Linked DNA regions of Macaca fascicularis. The protein of the gene in region 4 interacts with the protein of the main gene of each other region in a pairwise test. Links are inferred from orthologs where the notes say so. Each region holds a gene or a part of one and is shown on either strand. Other genes may lie near its edges.

What was found.
Region 1: the proteins of UTP14A (region 4) and SMYD1 interact in binary tests that used the Homo sapiens proteins (3 or more experiments, as listed by UniProt). The link is inferred for Macaca fascicularis from reciprocal best matches to the Homo sapiens genes UTP14A and SMYD1.
Region 2: the proteins of UTP14A (region 4) and GADD45G interact in binary tests that used the Homo sapiens proteins (3 or more experiments, as listed by UniProt). The link is inferred for Macaca fascicularis from reciprocal best matches to the Homo sapiens genes UTP14A and GADD45G.
Region 3: the proteins of UTP14A (region 4) and APLP1 interact in a two-hybrid assay, tested with the Homo sapiens proteins (2 studies listed by BioGRID and IntAct). The link is inferred for Macaca fascicularis from reciprocal best matches to the Homo sapiens genes UTP14A and APLP1.
Region 5: the proteins of UTP14A (region 4) and CEP70 interact in a two-hybrid assay, tested with the Homo sapiens proteins (2 studies listed by BioGRID and IntAct). The two-hybrid records come from large-scale screens. The link is inferred for Macaca fascicularis from reciprocal best matches to the Homo sapiens genes UTP14A and CEP70.

What each region holds. Positions count from the first base shown.
Region 1 is NC_088387.1:22,921,636-22,925,151, forward strand, and holds part of SMYD1 (histone-lysine N-methyltransferase SMYD1), read right to left. Parts: intron 3,416-3,516; coding exon 3,239-3,415; intron 1-3,238. UniProt on the Homo sapiens protein: Methylates histone H3 at 'Lys-4' (H3K4me), seems able to perform both mono-, di-, and trimethylation. Acts as a transcriptional repressor. Essential for cardiomyocyte differentiation and cardiac morphogenesis.
Region 2 is NC_088389.1:119,949,117-119,952,427, forward strand, and holds GADD45G (growth arrest and DNA damage-inducible protein GADD45 gamma), read left to right. Parts: upstream 1-1,263; 5' UTR 1,264-1,373; coding exon 1,374-1,426; intron 1,427-1,682; coding exon 1,683-1,784; intron 1,785-1,917; coding exon 1,918-2,131; intron 2,132-2,219; coding exon 2,220-2,330; 3' UTR 2,331-2,806; downstream 2,807-3,311. UniProt on the Homo sapiens protein: Involved in the regulation of growth and apoptosis. Mediates activation of stress-responsive MTK1/MEKK4 MAPKKK.
Region 3 is NC_088393.1:43,098,535-43,102,792, forward strand, and holds the start of APLP1 (amyloid beta precursor like protein 1), read left to right. Parts: upstream 1-1,452; 5' UTR 1,453-1,513; coding exon 1,514-1,660; intron 1,661-2,545; coding exon 2,546-2,689; intron 2,690-3,696; coding exon 3,697-3,829; intron 3,830-4,036; coding exon 4,037-4,149; intron 4,150-4,258. UniProt on the Homo sapiens protein: May play a role in postsynaptic function. The C-terminal gamma-secretase processed fragment, ALID1, activates transcription activation through APBB1 (Fe65) binding. Couples to JIP signal transduction through C-terminal binding.
Region 4 is NC_088395.1:136,191,745-136,195,260, forward strand, and holds part of UTP14A (U3 small nucleolar RNA-associated protein 14 homolog A), read left to right. Parts: intron 1-3,166; coding exon 3,167-3,516. UniProt on the Homo sapiens protein: May be required for ribosome biogenesis.
Region 5 is NC_088376.1:41,346,262-41,349,777, reverse strand, and holds part of CEP70 (centrosomal protein of 70 kDa), read left to right. Parts: intron 1-100; coding exon 101-206; intron 207-3,184; coding exon 3,185-3,355; intron 3,356-3,516.

The DNA.
Region 1 (3,516 bases), on a different chromosome or scaffold from region 4:
TGGGATGGGCAGCAGCAGGGGGGCACTACAGCTGCATTCATTCATTCAACACACATTTACTGGATGTCTCATGCATGCCAGGCACAATGTTGGGCCCAAGATATGGTTTTAAACTAGATAGATGGAATTTATTCTATTGTGATGCTTCATATAGTGGGGGAGAGGTAAGTAAACAAGCACATTTTACATAGAAAGTGCTATGCAGAAAAAATAATACAGGGTGACATGATAGAGAGTGACTGGGGTGGGGAAGCTAAGGTCTTCCAAGGAAGTGTCACAGGGGAGGCACATTTGAGCTGGAATTGGAAGGGGTGGAGGAGCTGGCTCTGTGACACTGGAGAAAGAGCACTTCGGGAGAGAGCAGTGAGTACAAAGGAATGAGCTTGGTCTGATGGAGAAACAGCAGGAAGGTAGAGGTGGCGGGAGCACAGGGAGCAAGAAATGGAGACCAAATAAAGGTGGAGGTTTGGGCAGGAGCCAGGTCCCATGGGGTCTGGGGACACAGAGAGGTGCGGCAGCCTGGGTCTCTCTTAACATTGTGGCCTACTGTGATGAGCCTTGCATCAGGAGTCTAATGACCTGTTTCCACTTCTTACTGTGTGAACCTGGGCAAGTCACTTGACCTCTCTGAATCTATCTGGTGGCCAGTAAAATAGGGAAAATATTCCCTGCTGTGCTAACCTCCAGAGGTATTCAGAAGACAAAGTGAGGTAATAGGTGTCTGCATTATATGTGAAGGTGTTGATATTATTATTATTATTTTTTTTTGAGACGGTGTCTCGCTCTGTCGCCCAGGCTGGAATGCAGTGGCCGGATCTCAGCTCACTGCAAGCTCCGCCTCCCGGGTTTACGCCATTCTCCTGCCTCAGCCTCCCGAGTAGCTGGGACTACAGGCGCCTGCAACTTCACCCAGCTAGTTTTTTGTATTTTTTTAGTAGAGACGGGGTTTCACCGTGTTAACCAGGATGGTCTCGATCTCCTGACCTCGTGATCCGCCGGTCTCGGCTTCCCAAAGTACTGGGATTACAGGCTTGAACCACTGCGCCCGGCCGGTATTGATATTCTTAATGATTGGGTAGCGTGAAAGTGGAGAAGGCCATCTAGGTGGGGAAACAGTGAGGAGAGGCCTCGAGGCAGCCACGGGCATGCCACGTGCAGGACCTGGCCTGGCTGGAGCGGGGCTCTGCGGGAAGAGCAGGAGGCCAGGTGGGACAGGAGGAGACCTGTAGAGACACAGGGACTTGAGTATGAGACAGAGGGGTGTACTTCACCCCAAAGGCCTCTTTGTTAACTATTAGGTGGCCTGTGATGAAGCTTATAACCCAGGGACACTTTAATGTTCCTGCCACCCACTGACTGCTCACTTTTCAGGCACCTAGGGAGGGGATGGTGGTCTAGGACAGATCCTGTTCCTGAGGAGAGACCTGCTGGGCAAAGCACAGGCCCTCTCCTCGTTTTTTTTTTTTTTTTTAATTGAAATTTTAATTGAGATAATTGCAGATTTACAGGCAGTTGGAAAACAATACGAAGAGATCCCTTGTACATTTTGCCCAGTTTTCTCTAATGGTAACATTCTGGAAAACTAACATCACAGCCAGAATATTATCCCACCTCTGTTATTCAGATTTCTTCCATTTTGCTTATATTCATGAATGTGTATGTGTGTTTAATTATATACAATGTTATCACCTATGTAGCTTCGTGTATCCACCTGCACAGTCAAGATACTAAACAGTGTCATCACCTCAGGGTCCTTTCTGTCCCCCACCTCTTTTTGAACCATTTTAACCATTTTAAAGTATACAGTTTGATGGCATTAAGCACACTCACACTGTTGTGCAACCATCACCAACCATCTGTTTCCAGAACCTTTTTCATTTTCCCGATTTCTCCCATTTGAGTCACTGAGTTATTTCTGGAGAAATGCCCCGCGTGGGACTCCAGGTGCCTGGAAACTGACGTGTCTTCACAGGGAGCCCAGGGCAGCACTGGGGAAAATACAACTCAGCACATGGAAGATCTGCTGCCTCCAAATAATGAGGAAAGGGTTATGAAGCTCAGAGAATAGAGGTCAATGCGTGATAGATTTCAACTCAATAACTGTCACAGGAGGTGCCATTTACTTTAGTTCTTGAAGCATATGTATTGTTTCAGTAGATGGAGCTAAGGGGCATGGAGAGGTTGACTGAGCCATTTCATCCTGCAGGTTCCTAAAAATCATCATGATATGACAATTCCATTCTGTACCTTAACTTCACACCCTACGCACACAGTGAAAATGCTCCCAGTCACCATTTCCATCTCCTTTGCTCTGCAGTGCTGGCTTCCTGAGCATCTCCCTGCAGCCCAGCACCAAGCCTCCAGGACTTGGGAATCTCTTGCACTGGAGCTACTGGCCTTAAGATTTCTGATGATGGCCACCAGGAAAGGCCGTTAGTTGCAAACTCAAATGCACTCTCTGGTGTAACGTGTATGACCACAGGGAGCAGTGGTGCTGCTGTGACTTAGAAAGCTTTGTATTTTTTCAAAGGTGGCAGATACTACTGAGCTCTAGCCTATTTTGCCAGATCTTCAGTTTTTTTTGTTTGTTTTTGTTTTCCAAGAGAAGTCAAAAATCCTAATTTTAAAATGTGAAATTTCCCAATTTTTAAACATTGGTGGATCAATTTAAAAACACTTGCCCCTTGGCTGGGCATGGTGGCTCACGGCTATAATACCAGCACTTTGGGAGGCTGAGACGGGTGGATTGCTTGATCTCAGGAGTTCGAGGCTACCCTGGGCAACATGACAAAACACCATCTCTATAAAAAATACAAAAATTAACCAGGTGTGGTGGTGCATGCCGGTGGTCCCAGCTAGTCGAGAGGCTGAGGTGGGAGGATCACTTGAGCCTAGGAGGTCAAGTGAGCTGTGATCAGGGCCTCTGCACTCCATCCTGGGCAACAGAGCAAGACCCTGTATCCAAAATACATAAATAAACTAAACACTGGGGAGCCCTACAGCAGGAGTCTGCAAGCCAGTTTCAGCCTGTGGCTGCAGTTTGGAATCACTGCTGTCAACAGCCAGTTCTCCCTGTTAGACCTTAAGGGAATGAACAGAAGTGACCATATCCAGTCTTTGAGGCTCTTTCCTGACTTGCACTCAGCTTGGCTTCCTTAGATCTGGGAATGCCGTTACAGAGGCCATTCCAGCCTGACATTTGGAAATTTGAAGCACCACCATGGGGCCCAGCTCTCACCTGATGTTCTCATTGGGTACTTTCCCATATCTCTTGATGGCCGAACACTCATTCTTGTGGTTCAACCAAGCATCTTTCTGGCAGGTGCGGTCGCAGTAATGGGCAAACTTGCACTGCCCACAGCGATGGAGCTTCTCCTGCCTCTTGAAGCAAGTGTGGCACACAAAATTAACAAGGCTGGAAATGGAGAGAGAAGACACGTGATTGGGAGCACAGTGGAAAGGGCACCATACAGCCAGTGGAACACGGCATTCTGGTACTGGGTTCAGCTGACTGGT
Region 2 (3,311 bases), on a different chromosome or scaffold from region 4:
GACAGGGCTCAGTGGGCCCGGCCGGACAGCTCCGTGGCCGACCCCCTCCACCGCCCTTCCCCCGCACCAGGCCAATGCAAGGGTGTGTGTGTTGGGGGAGGGGAGGAGAAAAGGGATTCAGGATCTTTTTAACCTGCCTGTAGATGGCGCCCCGGGAAACAGATACCGAACTACATCCCCTAAGCTCCAAGGGCCGCAGCCGCGGGGTCCCGGCCAGAGGGCGTCCAGTCGCGAAGACTGCGCAGCAGCTCTCTGTGCTTCCCAACTCGCGAGGCTGCTCGGCACCCGTGCGAGGAACGGGTGGAAGGGAATTACATGTAGCAGGGCCAGTACAGGCGGCGCGTACTCAGGGACCACGGAGTGGCACTCAGCCTCGACCCCACGCGCCAGGCAGCCCGGCGACCCCCACGCGCGGCGGGGGCCTGCCCACCCCACCCGGCGGCAGGTGGACAGTGTTGCTATGAAGAGAAAGCCTCGATTGTCCCTACTGCAAACCGCCACACGCCAGACCTCTGCTATTGTGCGCCCTCCATAGAAATGCAAACGAGCGGCGTGCGCCGGCAGCAATCTGCTCGCCCCTGCCCGCCCCCTTCTCCGGCGCCCCGCTGCTCTCGGCCAAGGGCGGGGAGGTGGGGTAGGATCTTCCAGCGACTACTCAATGTACACATTGAGTATGCCTGGCAGGCATTACCAGCGCGCTCCGGACGCTAGTGGTCAGCTGCAGGGGGCTGTGCCCACTGCCTTTTGCAAGCCTTTAACTGGCGTTACCTGTTTTTACCTTAATTTCCTGCTCCAATGCAACAGTCTCATAAACTTCAAATTAAAGAAAAGAAACAAATAGAAAGGTAGCAATAAAAAATGGAAATAAAATTCCTTTTGATTCTATAAAGGTGCTTTTCGCAAATTGCAGCATCATATTAGCAAACAAGGTTTTTGTGGATTGGCTTTTTTTTTTTTTTTTTTTTTTTTTTTACTTTTTCCTTTTAAGGACTTCAAAAAAAAAAAAAAAAAAAAAAAAAAAGAAAGCCAGGCGAGATGAAATCTGCAGGCTCCAGTCTGCCTGGTAACACCCCAACAAAAGCGGCAGATTTGAGGCATTGTCATCCCCCGCACCCCTCCCCACGTGGCCTTCTGGCACGAGCCGCGGGCTCGCGGTCTCATTTACATCAGAAAGCGGGTGCCGGCCAATAGGCGGGCAGCCTCGCGCCAGCTGGCGGCGCCGCACCCATCAGCCTATATAAGGACGCGCAGCGTAGCCCGGGCGCACTCGCTGGTGGTGGGCGCGCCGTGCTGAGCTCTTGGTCTCAGGGTGTTCGCCCGCGTCCCCTCCGCGCTCTCCGCTTGTGGATAACTTGCTGTTGTTTGATCGCACTATGACTCTGGAAGAAGTCCGCGGCCAGGACACAGTTCCGGAAAGCACAGACAGGTGGGTTTCAGGGCGCTGAGAAAGCGGCTGGTCAGTCGGCGACCGTCAGGGTTCTCCAGGGTGGGAATCCGCGGGATAGGAGCCGAGCCCGGGGGTGCGGGCGTCAGATCCGGGTTGGAGAGCCGGGGTGCGGGCGCCAAGCCGGGATTGGAGTGTGGTTGGAGTTGGAGAGCCAAGGGTGAATCCCCGTGGCCGGGGCTCGGGGCTCCACCGCGCCCCACGGCCGTCTCCCGCTCACTAGCTGGCTCCTCCGCAGGATGCAGGGTGCCGGGAAAGCGCTGCACGAGTTGCTGCTGTCCGCGCAGCGTCAGGGCTGCCTCACTGCCGGCGTCTACGAGTCAGCCAAAGTCCTGAACGTGTAAGTGTAGACGCGACCCAGGCTGGGAGACAGGGGCGGGGATGAATGGCGAAGAGACCGGCGGATGGGAGGGGTGGCTGCGGGAGAACTTGGTTTGCCGGTTCTGACCTTGGTCCCCGTCTTGCCCTCGCAGGGACCCCGACAATGTGACCTTCTGCGTGCTGGCTGCCGATGAGGAGGACGAGGGCGACATCGCGCTGCAGATCCATTTTACGCTGATCCAGGCTTTCTGCTGCGAGAACGACATCGACATAGTGCGCGTGGGCGATGTGCAGCGGCTGGCGGCTATCGTGGGCGCCGGCGAGGAGGCGGGCGCGCCGGGCGACCTGCACTGCATCCTCATTTCGGTGAGTACAGCCCCGTCCGGTCCCCGCCCCGGTGTAGTTCCCGCCTCGGCCCGCGGCCAGCCAGGCTGACCCTGCTCTCTCTCAGCAGAACCCCAACGAGGACGCCTGGAAGGATCCCGCCTTGGAGAAGCTCAGCCTGTTTTGCGAGGAGAGCCGCAGCGTTAACGACTGGGTGCCCAGCATCACCCTCCCCGAGTGACAGCCCGGCGGGGACCTTGGTCTGATCGACGTGGTGACGCCCCGGGGCGCCTAGAGCGCGGCTGGCTCTGTGGAGGGGCCCTCCGAGGGTGCCCGAGTGCGGCGTGGAGACTGGCAGGCGGGGGGGGCGCCTGGAGAGTGAGGAGGCGCGGCCTCTCGAGGAGGGGCCCGGCGGCGGCAGGGCCAGGCTGGCCCGAGCTGAGGACTCTGCAAGTGTCTGGAGCGGCTGCTCGCCCAGGAAGGCCTAGGCTAGGACGTTGGCCTCAGGGCCAGGAAGGACAGACTGGCCGGGCAGGCGTGACTCAGCAGCCTGCGCTCGGCAGGAAGGAGCGGCGCCCTGGACTTGGTACAGTTGCAGGAGCGTGAAGGACTTAGCCAACTGCGCTGCTTTTTCAAAACGGATCCGGGCAATGCTTCGTTTTCTAAAGGATGCTGCTGTTGAAGCTTTGAATTTTACAATAAACTTTTTGAAACAAACTTATGCTCTTTATTGAGGGTAGGGGATCTTTGTGTCGGGGGAGGTGGTGCGCAGGGTTTCAGAGGATTGCTGGAACTCCGTGGAACTGATGGCACCTGTTCCGTCTTCCTGTCGGGCAAGAATGACAGGCTCCTCCGCGCTGGCAGAGGGAGGGCATGCTGCCCAGTGCTAGGGTAGAACTTGAGCCTGGCTCCTACTTTTCTCCTTTTAGGAAGATTTTAAACTTGCAAAACAGGAGCATACTTGAGAAAAGACATCAGTGCAGCAGCTGAAGTCTTGCCTTCCAAGGCGATAACAGTGACCTCTGCCTCCCCTCCCCCTCCCTCGGCCCTCCTCCCCCTCCCTCCCACAGCTGCTTATCGGAACAGCTTGCCTGAGGCCGCAGGCTTTCCTGCACAATGAGCATCGCCTTCTGCAGGCCCTGCCCTTTGTGGTCCCTGAGGACGGTGGCAGGCTGCTTCTGCTCTTGGGGACTTTTTCCTCTTAGATGCTCTGACAAAAAGC
Region 3 (4,258 bases), on a different chromosome or scaffold from region 4:
AAAAAGTCAAAGAGGCAAGTGTGTCTTAGGGAGTCTACTGGCATTATTACCCTCCATCAAGGAAGGGGTCCATTAGACCTGTCCCAAGGTCTCTCCTCTACCCTAGCCTATAAGGTGGCTGTAGAAGCAAAACTGTGAGCCACCTCTCAGCCTCTTGCTACCTGCAAAGCACTCTAGACTCTTTATTTATTTATTTTTTCTTGAGACAAGGTCTGGCTCTATGGCCCAGGCTGGAGTGCAGTGGCACCATCTCAGCTCACTGCTACATCTGCATCCTGGGCTCAAGCCATCCTTCCACCTCAGCCTCCCAAGTAGCTGGGACTACAGGTGCACACCACCACACCCAGCTAATTTTTGTATTTGTTTGTAGAGACAGGATTTCATCCTGTTGGCCAGGCTGGTCTCAAACTCCTGACCTCAAGTGATACGCCTACCTAGGCCTCCCAAAGTGCTGGTATTACAGGCGTGAGCCACTGTGCCCAGTCATGGACTCTTTTAATATACATCTTCATACACACACGCACACACACACACACACACACACGAGTTGCAAACAGAAAAGACACACACATTGGCATGTATGCACAGACACACGCATAGATGTCCACACAGTTGCACACATGTGACAGGGCTGCCCCAGGGGTCCTGGGAAAGACAGAGTTCTACACTCTCATTAGAGGAGACAAACGAGTGAGCCCTGAAGTGGGACAGAGAAGGAGACTATGGGCATGAAAATGGCAATCCCCTGGTCCTTACAGCAAGGGTGGAGATCCAGACCCTAATCCTGGGGCGCTGCATCCACAGTGGGCATGGTGCTGGTGCCTGCTTGGGTGATCCTTAAAGAAAGGTCCCGGGGGCTTTGGTTCATGGATCCTTGAGCTAGGAGTTAAAGATCCAGGCCCCTGGGACCCTTGGGAAGCAGAGCAGGAAGACTGAACTGGTTCTGAGGGAGAATGGGCTGGGGGCTTGGTCTCTGGTCCTGAGAGAGAAGGTGCCCAGACTTCTGGATCTGAAAGAGGAGGGGACTGGGTCTCAACTGCTGCCATCTTGACGGGACATTTTGGAGGCCTGTATTCCTGAGCCCTCAATAGAGGAATTTACTAGGGGACGGGGGTCTCTGATGCTTGCATCCTTGGAGAAGGACAAAACTGTGAGTGTCTGGGTCTAAAGAGGGTGAGAGTCCTGCGGGAGGACTCAAAATCCACAACGGGCTGAGCCCATAGCAGGACTCCTGGCTGGGCCCTTCATGGGGCGGGACGCCTGGAATCTCCAGGGGCGGGGGCCTGGCGCAGGCTCCCGCCCGGGGTTCCCGAGCTGCTCCACTCTGCGCGGAGCCGCCACGCTATTGTCCTAGCCAGGAAGGCGGGGCCGGCGCGGGGCGTGGCTGGCGGCGCCGGCGCAGCCCGGGGGCGGCGGGAGGAGGAGGTGGCGGCGGTGGCGCTGGGAGCTCCTGTCACCGCTGGGGCCGGGCCGGGCGGGAGTGCAGGGGACGTGAGGGCTCAAGGGCCGGGACATGGGGCCAGCCAGCCCCGCTGCTCGCGGTCTAAGTCGCCGCCCGGGCCAGCCGCCGCTGCCGCTGCTGCTGCCACTATTGCTGCTGCTTCTGCGCGCGCAGCCCGCCATCGGGAGCCTGGCCGGTGGGAGCCCCGGCGCGGCCGAGGTGAGGCCGGGCCGGGTCCTGGGGGATGGGGGAAGGGGCGGGACCGGGTCTTTGGACGCCAGCGCGGACATGTACAGGACAGAAAGCGCGGTCTTTCCAGCCAGGTGGTCAGCCCCCAGGCGCCCCCAACCGCATTTATGAACCCAGGGTTCCAGGCCCCAGCTCCCCCATCCTCCGACGTCCCAGCCCCCTCCCACCCCGAGCATAGGAACTGGTCTATTCAGAGCCCCTGGTCCCAGAAGTCCAGCCCCCTCTCCAGACCCAGGTGACTAGGTCCCAACCCCCTCCCTCCTGGACATAGGACCCACCAAGCAGCGAGGCACTTAGATCCAATAATCCAGACCCCTTGTATTCTCTGGACCCATATGGAGGCCCTTGCAGCCTCCTAGGACCCAGGAGTCCGGTCCTTCAGTCACCACCCACCCCAACCAGATGTAGCTCTCCAGTCCTCAAGGACCTGGTGTCCAGGACTGTAGGCCCCTGAAGCCAGGCCTTATCAGCTTTGCACCCTGCAACCGGAGCCTGAGCAAGGGATGGAGGGAGGAGGGGCCAGAACGCCTGGGTTCAGGCCTCCTCCGCGATTCAGGTTTAACCCCTTCGGGCTCCAGAGCGGCTGAGCTGGGGTCGGGGCGGAGTCTGTCTCCGCGGCAACAAGGCAGAAAGAATCCCGGGGGACCCGGGTCGCCATAGCAACGGGAGAGCTAGGGCGCCCCCGCCCTACGGGAGCTGTTTCCCAGGGAACGGTGCCTCCATGGAGGCGGTGTGCACAACGGTGCTTGGGGGAGGGGGCTGGTGCTGGGGGTCTCGGTCCTAGGGAGCAAAGAACCAGGGGACCCTCATGCCAACGCCCCCCGGGCCCTCATTATCCCCTCCACTTCCATCCAGGCCCAGGGGTCGGCCCAGGTGGCTGGACTATGCGGGCGCCTAACCCTTCACCGGGACCTGCGCACCGGCCGCTGGGAACCAGACCCACAGCGCTCTCGACGCTGTCTCCGGGACCCGCAGCGCGTGCTGGAGTACTGCAGACAGGTGGGCGGGGCCGAGCGGGAGGGGCGGGGCCAGCGGGAAAGCGGGCCCCAAACGAGGCGGGGCCGCCCGTAGAAAGCTACACTTGAAAAAGGCGTGGTCCAAGGTGCCGCGGGATCTAAGACGTGGAAGCTAGCAGACGTGGCCAATAAAGAGGTGCAACTATGCTAGGGCAGGGGACCTGTTTTGAAATACTAAGTCAGGAAAGGGGGAGAACCGCGAGATAGCCAGAGAAGAAGTGGAATTTAGGAATCTGGTGGTCTTTGTAAAAAGCAGAGGTGTAGTGGGGAGTGGCGAAAGGATAGGCGGGGCTAAGACAGAAAGAGACCTTAAGGACCAGCGAGATGGGGAAAGGGGTGGAGCCCAATGAAAGCGCGGAGAGCTGGGGGGCGTGGCCACGAAAAGACAAGTCTGTAATGGGAAGGGAGAGCTTTGGAGAGGCGAAATAGAGGAAAAGGCAGGGCTAAAAGGAGGGTGAGACCTTTGGGGAGACGAATCTGACTGCGGGGAGGGGTGACCAGAGAGGTGGGCTTAGAGGGACCTTCAGAAAGAAACAGCACAGGAAAAAAGATAGCCTTGAAAACGGACCTGGCCGGGCGCAGTGGCTCACGCCTGTCATCGCAGCACTTGGGGAGGCGGAGGCGGACGGATCACCTGAGGTCAGAAGTTCGAGACCAGCCTGGCCAACATGGCGAAACCCTGTCTTTACTAAAAATACAAAAATTAGCCGGGCATGGTGGTGCGTGCCTGTAATCCCAACTACTCGGGAGGCTGAGACAGGAGAATAGCTTGAACCTGGGAGGAGGAAGTTGCAGTGAGCCGAGATTGTACCATTGCACTCCAGCCTGGGCGACAAGAGCAAATCTCCGAAAGAGAGAAAGAGAGAAAGACAGAGAGAGAGAGAGAGAAAGGAGGGAGGGAGGGAGGGAAGAAAGGGGACCTGACTACTGGAAAGGGGTGGCTGGCAGAGGCGGGGCTGTGGGCTGATTGCCCCCATTTAACCCCCCCAGATGTACCCGGAGCTGCAGATCGCACGTGTAGAGCAGGCTACCCAGGCCATCCCCATGGAGCGCTGGTGCGGGGGTGCCCGGAGCGGCAGCTGCACCCACCCCCACCACCAGGTTGTGCCCTTCCGCTGCCTGCGTGAGTCCCAGGCGGGGAGAGGGGAACTGAGGTGGGAGTTTCCGAGGGGCAAAATTCTGAGCCCCTCTCTCGGGCCCACATTAAGGGGGTGGGTGCTTGTGTCCTAAGTGGGTCAGAGAAGCCTCTGAGGATAAAATATCTGGATTCTGAGGAGGGTGGGGTTGGTGCTGTAGGAGGGTCTCACCCTGGTGTCCCGTGCTTCCCCAGCTGGTGAATTTGTGAGTGAGGCCCTGCTGGTGCCTGAAGGCTGCCGGTTCTTGCACCAGGAGCGCATGGACCAATGCGAGAGTTCAACCCGGAGGCATCAGGAGGCACAGGAGGTCAGGACCTTGGCCCACCCGTCCCCAGCCCCCAGAACCCAGGAACCAGGACCCCAACACCCTCCTCCACCAGAACCGAGGGTCTGGGCCACCAGTATCCTCTTCCCAC
Region 4 (3,516 bases):
AGCTTGCCTAGGAAAACTACCTACATTGAGAAATCACTTGGCTATCTGGACAAATTACCAGGTCTGGTTTGGTTCCACATAGGAATGCATTTAGATGACGGCAAAAATCTGGTTTTACATGGCAAAAAAAAATTATTTTTTTTCTACTTTTTTTTTTGTTTAAGAGACAGGGTTTTGCTCTGTCATCCAGGCTGGAGTACAGTAGTACAATCATACCTTACTGCAGCCTAAGACCTCCCAGGCTCAAGCGATCCTCTTGGCTCAGCCTCCCAACTAGCTGGGACTACATGTATGTGCCACCATGCTGAGCTACGTTTTTGTAGAGACTGAGGTCTTGCTCTGTTGCCCAGGCTGGTCTTGAATTCCTGGCCTCAAGCTATCCTCTCACCTCAGCCTCCCAAAGTGTTAGGATTACAAGTGTGAGCCACCGCACCCAGACTCCTTTTTTTTTTTTCCTTTGTTTTTTTCAGGTTTCCACATACAAAAATTTATTTTAAAAGAGCTATAATTTAGAATGTATTGTGGTGACCTTTACTTAATAGTTTTGGCTGGATATTTCTGGGATTAATAATTGCAAGCAGTCACTTCTGAGAGAATTTTGGAAAGCAGCACAGTGGGCTGAGATTGTTGGGGTGTCCATATATGGCCACAGGACCCTAGTGGCTTTCTCTTAAGCCCCCTCAACAACTGACCATCTATCTAAATGTGCAGAGCGGCTGACTGTGATATGAAAGGATGAAAGACAGATTTGCATTTCTTTAGACAGTAAATAAATCAAATTTTCTCAGACCTTCCAAGAGTGTCCTAAAATACTGGAAAGTCACGGACCCCAATGAAAATGAACAAGGAAACCTGATTCTTGAGAAATAAACATCCATGTGTCCAAAGGCCAGATCTAAGGAGCTACAATGGCTTCATGCCAAAGCTAGAGAGCAGGATCAACTTGGGAATGGTGGCAACTTGAGTCAATGAAAAAGCCAGTTTAGAACCATGTCACTGCCAGGTTTCCCTCCAGACTCTTTTTTTTTTGAGACAGGTGTCTGTCATCCAGGCTGAAGTGCAGTGGTGCAACCTTGGCTCACTGCAAGCTCCACCTCCCAGGTTCAAGCAATCCTCCTGCCTCAGCCCGCAAGTAGCTGGGATTACAGGCATGCGCTACCACGCCCAGCTAATTTTTGTATTTTTAGTAGAGACGGGGTTTCACCATGTTGGTCAGGCTGGTCTCAAACTCCTGGCTTCAAGTGATTCACCCACCTCAGCCTCCCAAAGTGCTGGGATTACAGGTGTGAGCCACTGTGCCCAGCCAGCCCCTCCAGACTCTTAAGACTAGTGTTATTTGCTCAGATGTTGCCAGTGGAAGTGTGAGCTACATCCACTGGATAAAGCCGCTACTTCATCCCTTGACTCAGCAACAGCAGATTATGAAATACTGCTTTAAGATACGGAGTAGAAATTCTTGAGTCAAGATGAAAATCCTGGCCGGGTGCGGTAGCTCACACCTGTAATCCCAGCACTTTGGGAGGTCGAGATGGGTGGATCACGAGATCAGGAGATCGAGACCATCCTGGCTAACACGGTGAAACCCCGTCTCTACTAAAACTACAAAACATTAGCCGGGCACGGTGGCGGGCACCTGTGGTCCCAGCTACTCAGGAGGCTGAGGCAGGAGAATGACGTGAATGCAGGAGGCGGAGCTTGCAGTGAGCCGAGATTGCACCACTGCACTCCAGCCTGGGCGACAGAGCGAGACTCCGTCTCAAAAAAAAAAAAAAAAAAAAAAAAAGATGAAAATCCTGGATAAGGTTTTTATAAGCAGTAAAGCATAAATTACAATGAAGTTGCATTCAGAAGCCACCTGTTAAAGTGGCTTCCTTTTTTAAAATTTGGAACTTGGGGCAATCTTCCCAAGTGGGGTTTACTGCACGAGGAACTTAAGCCACAGTCCCAGTCATACAGTGGATCATTGGCAAAGCTGGGAATAGGACCCAGGACGTCTGCTTTCCAACATGCTACTTTTCTTTTTTTTTTTTGAGACAGGTCTTGCCCTGTTTGCCCAGGCTAGTATGCAGCGGCACAGTCACAGCTCCCTGCAGCCTTGACTTTCTGGCTCCAGCGATCCTCCCAGCTTAGCCTCCCAAGTAGCTGGAACTACAGATGCACACTGCCATGCCTGGAAATGTTTTGTTGTTGGGGGAGTGGAGGTGGTAGAGATGAGTTCTCACTATGTTGCTTAGGCTGGTCTCGAACTCCTGGGCTCAAGCAGTCCTCCCCACTTGGCCTCCCAAAGTGCTGGCATTACAGGCGTGAGCCACCATATCCAACATCGCACATGCTCCGTTTTTTTTTTTTTTTTTTTTTTTTTTTTTTGAGACAGAGTCTTGCTCTGTCACCCAGGCTGGAGTGCAGTGGCGCAATCTCAGTTCACTGCAACCTCCGCCTACCTGGTTCAAGTGATTCTCCTGCCTCAGCCTCCCAAGTAGCTAGACTACAGGCACATGCCACCATGCCTGGATAATTTTTTGTATTTTTAGTAGAGACAGGGTTTCACCGTGTTAGCCAGGTCTCGATCTCCTGACCTCACGATCTGCCCGCCTCGGCTTCCCAAAGTGCTGGGATTACAGGCATGAGCCACCGCGCCTGGCCACATGCTACTTTTAATTACCAAACTCCGTTGCCTGCTATGATTAGTGTACTCTCTAGGAGATTCAATGTACAGAATCTTCTTTTCCCTGTTTGTCCTCGTTAGAATGTCTTATGTGGTACCTAGCACTTGGTGGGTGCTCAACAAATGCTTACCAACCAGACAACGTACATACCTCCTTTTCCTGACACAGCTTTCTTTTTTTTTTTTTTTTTTTTTTTTTTGAGACGGAGTCTCGCTCTGTTGCCCAGGCTGGAGTGCAGTGGCGCGATCTCGGCTCACTGCAAGCTCCGCCTCCCAGGTTTATGCCATTCTCCTGCCTCAGCCTCCTGAGTAGCAGGGACTACAGGCGCCCGCCACCATGCCCAGCTAATTTTTTGTATTTTTAGTAGAGACAGGGTTTCACCGTGGTCTCGATCTCCTGACCTTGTGATCTGCCTGCCTCGGCCTCCCAAAGTGCTGGGATTACAGGCGTGAGCCACCGCACCCGGCCTTTTCTGACAGCTTTCATTCTTTTTCCCCCAGATTCCAGCAGCCAGGAAGTGCTGTCTGAATTGAGAGTACTATCTCAGAAATTGAAGGAAAATGATCAGTCCAGGAAGCAAAAAGCAAGTTCAGAGGGGACTATTCCCCAGGTCCAGAGAGAGGAACCTGCCACAGAAGAAGAGGAGCCCCTGTTGCTACAGAGGCCAGAGAGAGTACAGACGCTGGAAGAACTAGAAGAGCTGGGAAAAGAAGAATGTTTTCAAAATAAGGAGCTTTCCAGACCTGTGTTAGAAGGGCAGCAGTCAGAGAGGACCCCAAATAATCGCCCTGATGCCCCTAAGAAGAAAAAGAAGGAGCAAATGATCGACCTACAGAACCTCCTAACCACA
Region 5 (3,516 bases), on a different chromosome or scaffold from region 4:
GGCTGTTGGGAGGGTGACTGGATCATTTACTTAGTTTATCATCTTGGTCCAGTGTCTAGGAAATAATTTTGCATTATCTTGATTTTTTTCTCCCTTTTAGATTACAGGAGCTTATTAGTCCTAAGAAGGCTGAGGACACAGAGAAAAAAGATGAGCCCAGCAAATATAATCAGCAACAGGCCCTAATTGACCAGAGATACTTTCAGGTATTGAATTGATTTTTCATGACAAAAAGACTGATGTTTGTCATAAATCTTGGTTATCAGTTGCAGTGTAATAAATTATCAGTTGGTAAGGAATACTTGCACCTCATATTTATGTGTACTTATTCTGTTTTGTCTTTCTGTGATATAACTAACTGTTTGACTAAAAACATTGTAGACTTCATCTTACTACTTAAAGGAGACTCTGGGCCTAGTTCAAAGCAGGTTAGTAAAGAGCTTTAAGATTTTTAAAAGATTTTATAATCCTTTTCCTTCCTTCCCCCTGTAAGCCATTTTCCCTCTTCTTGTTTCTTTTGTTGCTATTATTATTATATAAGTAAATCTGTTTTCTTAGGGTCCTTGTATGGCTTTGTTTTTGTGTAGAGACCTTAGTTCATCTGAAATTAATTTTCTATATGGTGTGATATAGGGAATCTCACCTTCCTAGTTTTACAGATCATTTATTGAATAGCTGAGCAGTTAAACCTGGTAGTTTAGTGACTGAACTGGACTTTCACTCATATTTTATTGGGTACACATAAGATTTTTAAATTTTAGATTATTCACTTTTTAAAAAATTAAGATATTTTATTTTTTCTAGGCTGCTATTTCTAATTTCTCTTAAAAAGTCAGAAGATCTGGCAACAAATTCCTGCATGGTTATTATCACAGCAGAATTAGGCCTTTCCCTTGTCAGATATGAGCATGTGTTCTGTAGTTAGCCAGTTGCTATTCATCCTTACTTCACTCATTTATACTCGTACCTGGATTCTCTGGGTGTCTTTGTTTGCAGTCTCTAATACGCTACTTTTTTGTCTACTTTATTGAAATAACATTTTATCATAGATCATATTCCTTTATATGCACAGATTTGTTTTTAGATTCTCTAGTCTGTTGCATTTCTCAACTGTTTCCATATATTAATTTCTATAGTTATAAGTTTTAATAGCCCTTGAGGCAAGTATCCTGTCATTTAAAAAAAAATTTTATTGGCTATATTTTTAGCACATTTATTCTTCTGGATGAACAGTTTTCAAATTAAAAACTAAATCCCATTGAGATGAACTAAAACTGAATTGACTTTATGGATTAATATTTGGAGAAATGACACCTTAACCTTTTTGAATCATCACATTCAGAGAAATATGTACTTTCATCAGGGTCATCTTTTATAGTCTTCAATAAAGTGTTGTATATTTTTAAATTTAGCTCTTGCATATTTCTTGTTAGGAAATACCTTGCTATTTCCTAGGTATTTTATAACTTTTATTGCTATTGTAAATGGGAACCAAGCACCTTTCTGAAAACTGTTTTGTTTTAGACTTTCTTGTACCAGTATGTAACTGGATTTCATTTTGTTTCTGAGACTCAATTTGAGAGACTTTGTCCTTTAAAGGGGGAATTCAGGCCGGGTATGGTGGCTCACGCCTGTAATCTTAACACTTTGGGTGACTGAGGCAGGAGGATTGCTAGAGGCCAGGAGTCTGAGATCAGCCTGGGCAATATAGTGAGACCACATCTCTAGAAAAAAAAATTAATTAGTTGGGCATGGTGGCGTGCACCTGTAGTCCTAGCACTTGAGAGGCTGACATGGGAGGATCACTTGAGCCCAGGAATTCAACGCTGCAGTGAGCTCTGTTCGCACCACTGCACTCCATCTTAGGCCACAGAGTGAGACTCTGTCAAATAAATAAATAAAACATATATACATACATCAATCTGAAGTGAAATATTGAATTACACTAATTTGGACTTAAAAAGCTTCTAAATAAACATCTGAAGTAATATAATAAACATATTAAGTCATATTACCAGGAAGCCTATTAGTTATATCTTGAAGTATGACCAGGGACGAAGATTCAGGAGCAAAATGCTATCTTTATATTGTGAAACTTTTTATTAAATAGGCTGAACTTGATGGTGGTAATAGGAAATGGCTTTATTCTTCTCTCTTTAAACATGCTTTTTGGGGGTCTCCCTTTTTATCCTTGGATGATATCTAAGGTAGAACTCATCACTTATGGGGAGAGGGTTATAGTCAAATAGTATACTATCTTAATATATTAAGATATTTAAAATTCAATCCAGGCATCAATGATATTATTTTTGGAGACAGGGTCTTGCTCTGTTGCCCAGGCTGGAATGCATTATCATAGCTCACTGCAGCCCTGAATTCCTGGGCTCAAGTGATCTTCCTGCCTCAACCTGGGATTACAGGCATGAGCCACCATACTAAGCCTGGGGATTACTGTTAATTTCCTTAAATAGTCTGATAATGGTCTTGTGGGTTTGTAGGAGAATATGCCTACTTTTAAAAGATGCACGCTTTATTATTTCAGGGTGCAGAGTTTCTTCAAATGGTTCACCTCAAAATATAGATAGCAAATATGGCACAATACTAACAATTGTTGAACCTAGGTAGTGATTATATGGGTGTTTGTATTAGTTAATTTTGTTTCAACTTTACTGTGGCATAGGATGCCCAATATTTGGTTAAACATTATTCTGGATGTGTGTCTGGGAAGATGCTTCTGGATGAGATTGACATCTGAATCAGTAGACTTAGTGAAGCAAACTGCCTTTCCTAATGGGGTAGGCCTCATCCAATCATTTGAAGGCCTGAGTAGAACAAAAGGCTGAATAAGAGGGAACTCCTCCCCGCTGACTGCTTTCAAGATGGGACACTTTTTTTTCCTGCCTTCAGACTCAAACTGAAACATTCGCACTTGCAGGGGTCTCAGTCTGCCTGTGTTTGGACTGCAAATATCCATTAGCTTTTCTGGGTCTTCACTTACTCACTGCAAATCTTGAGACTTGTCAGTCTTCATAATTGCATGAACCAATTCCTTGTGATAATTCTTTGTATATTTAATGAAATGCATGTATATAATATATATAGACATAAAGCACTCCTTTAAAATATATAACTTTGTAGGCATAGGATAAATATTTTGACTAAATACACTATGTTTTTTTTAAAGGTGCTGTGTAGCATCAATTCAATTATCCACAATCCAAGAGCTCCAGTAATAATTTATAAACAGAGCAAAGGGGGAGCCCAAAATTTTAATAAAGATCTTATTCAAGATTGTGGATTTGAGCATCTTGTTCCTATAATAGAAATGTGGGCAGATCAACTGACATCCTTAAAGGTAAGGGGTTGACTATTCTTTATATGCTTTGAACATCTATTGGACTCTATGTGCTTTATTTATAGGACTTAATTTAGGGCTAGAAATTAAATAGGGTTTAATTTTTTGTTTGTTAACTGTAAAGCTAAAAAAACTTATCTAAAACTGAAATCTTCCTACTT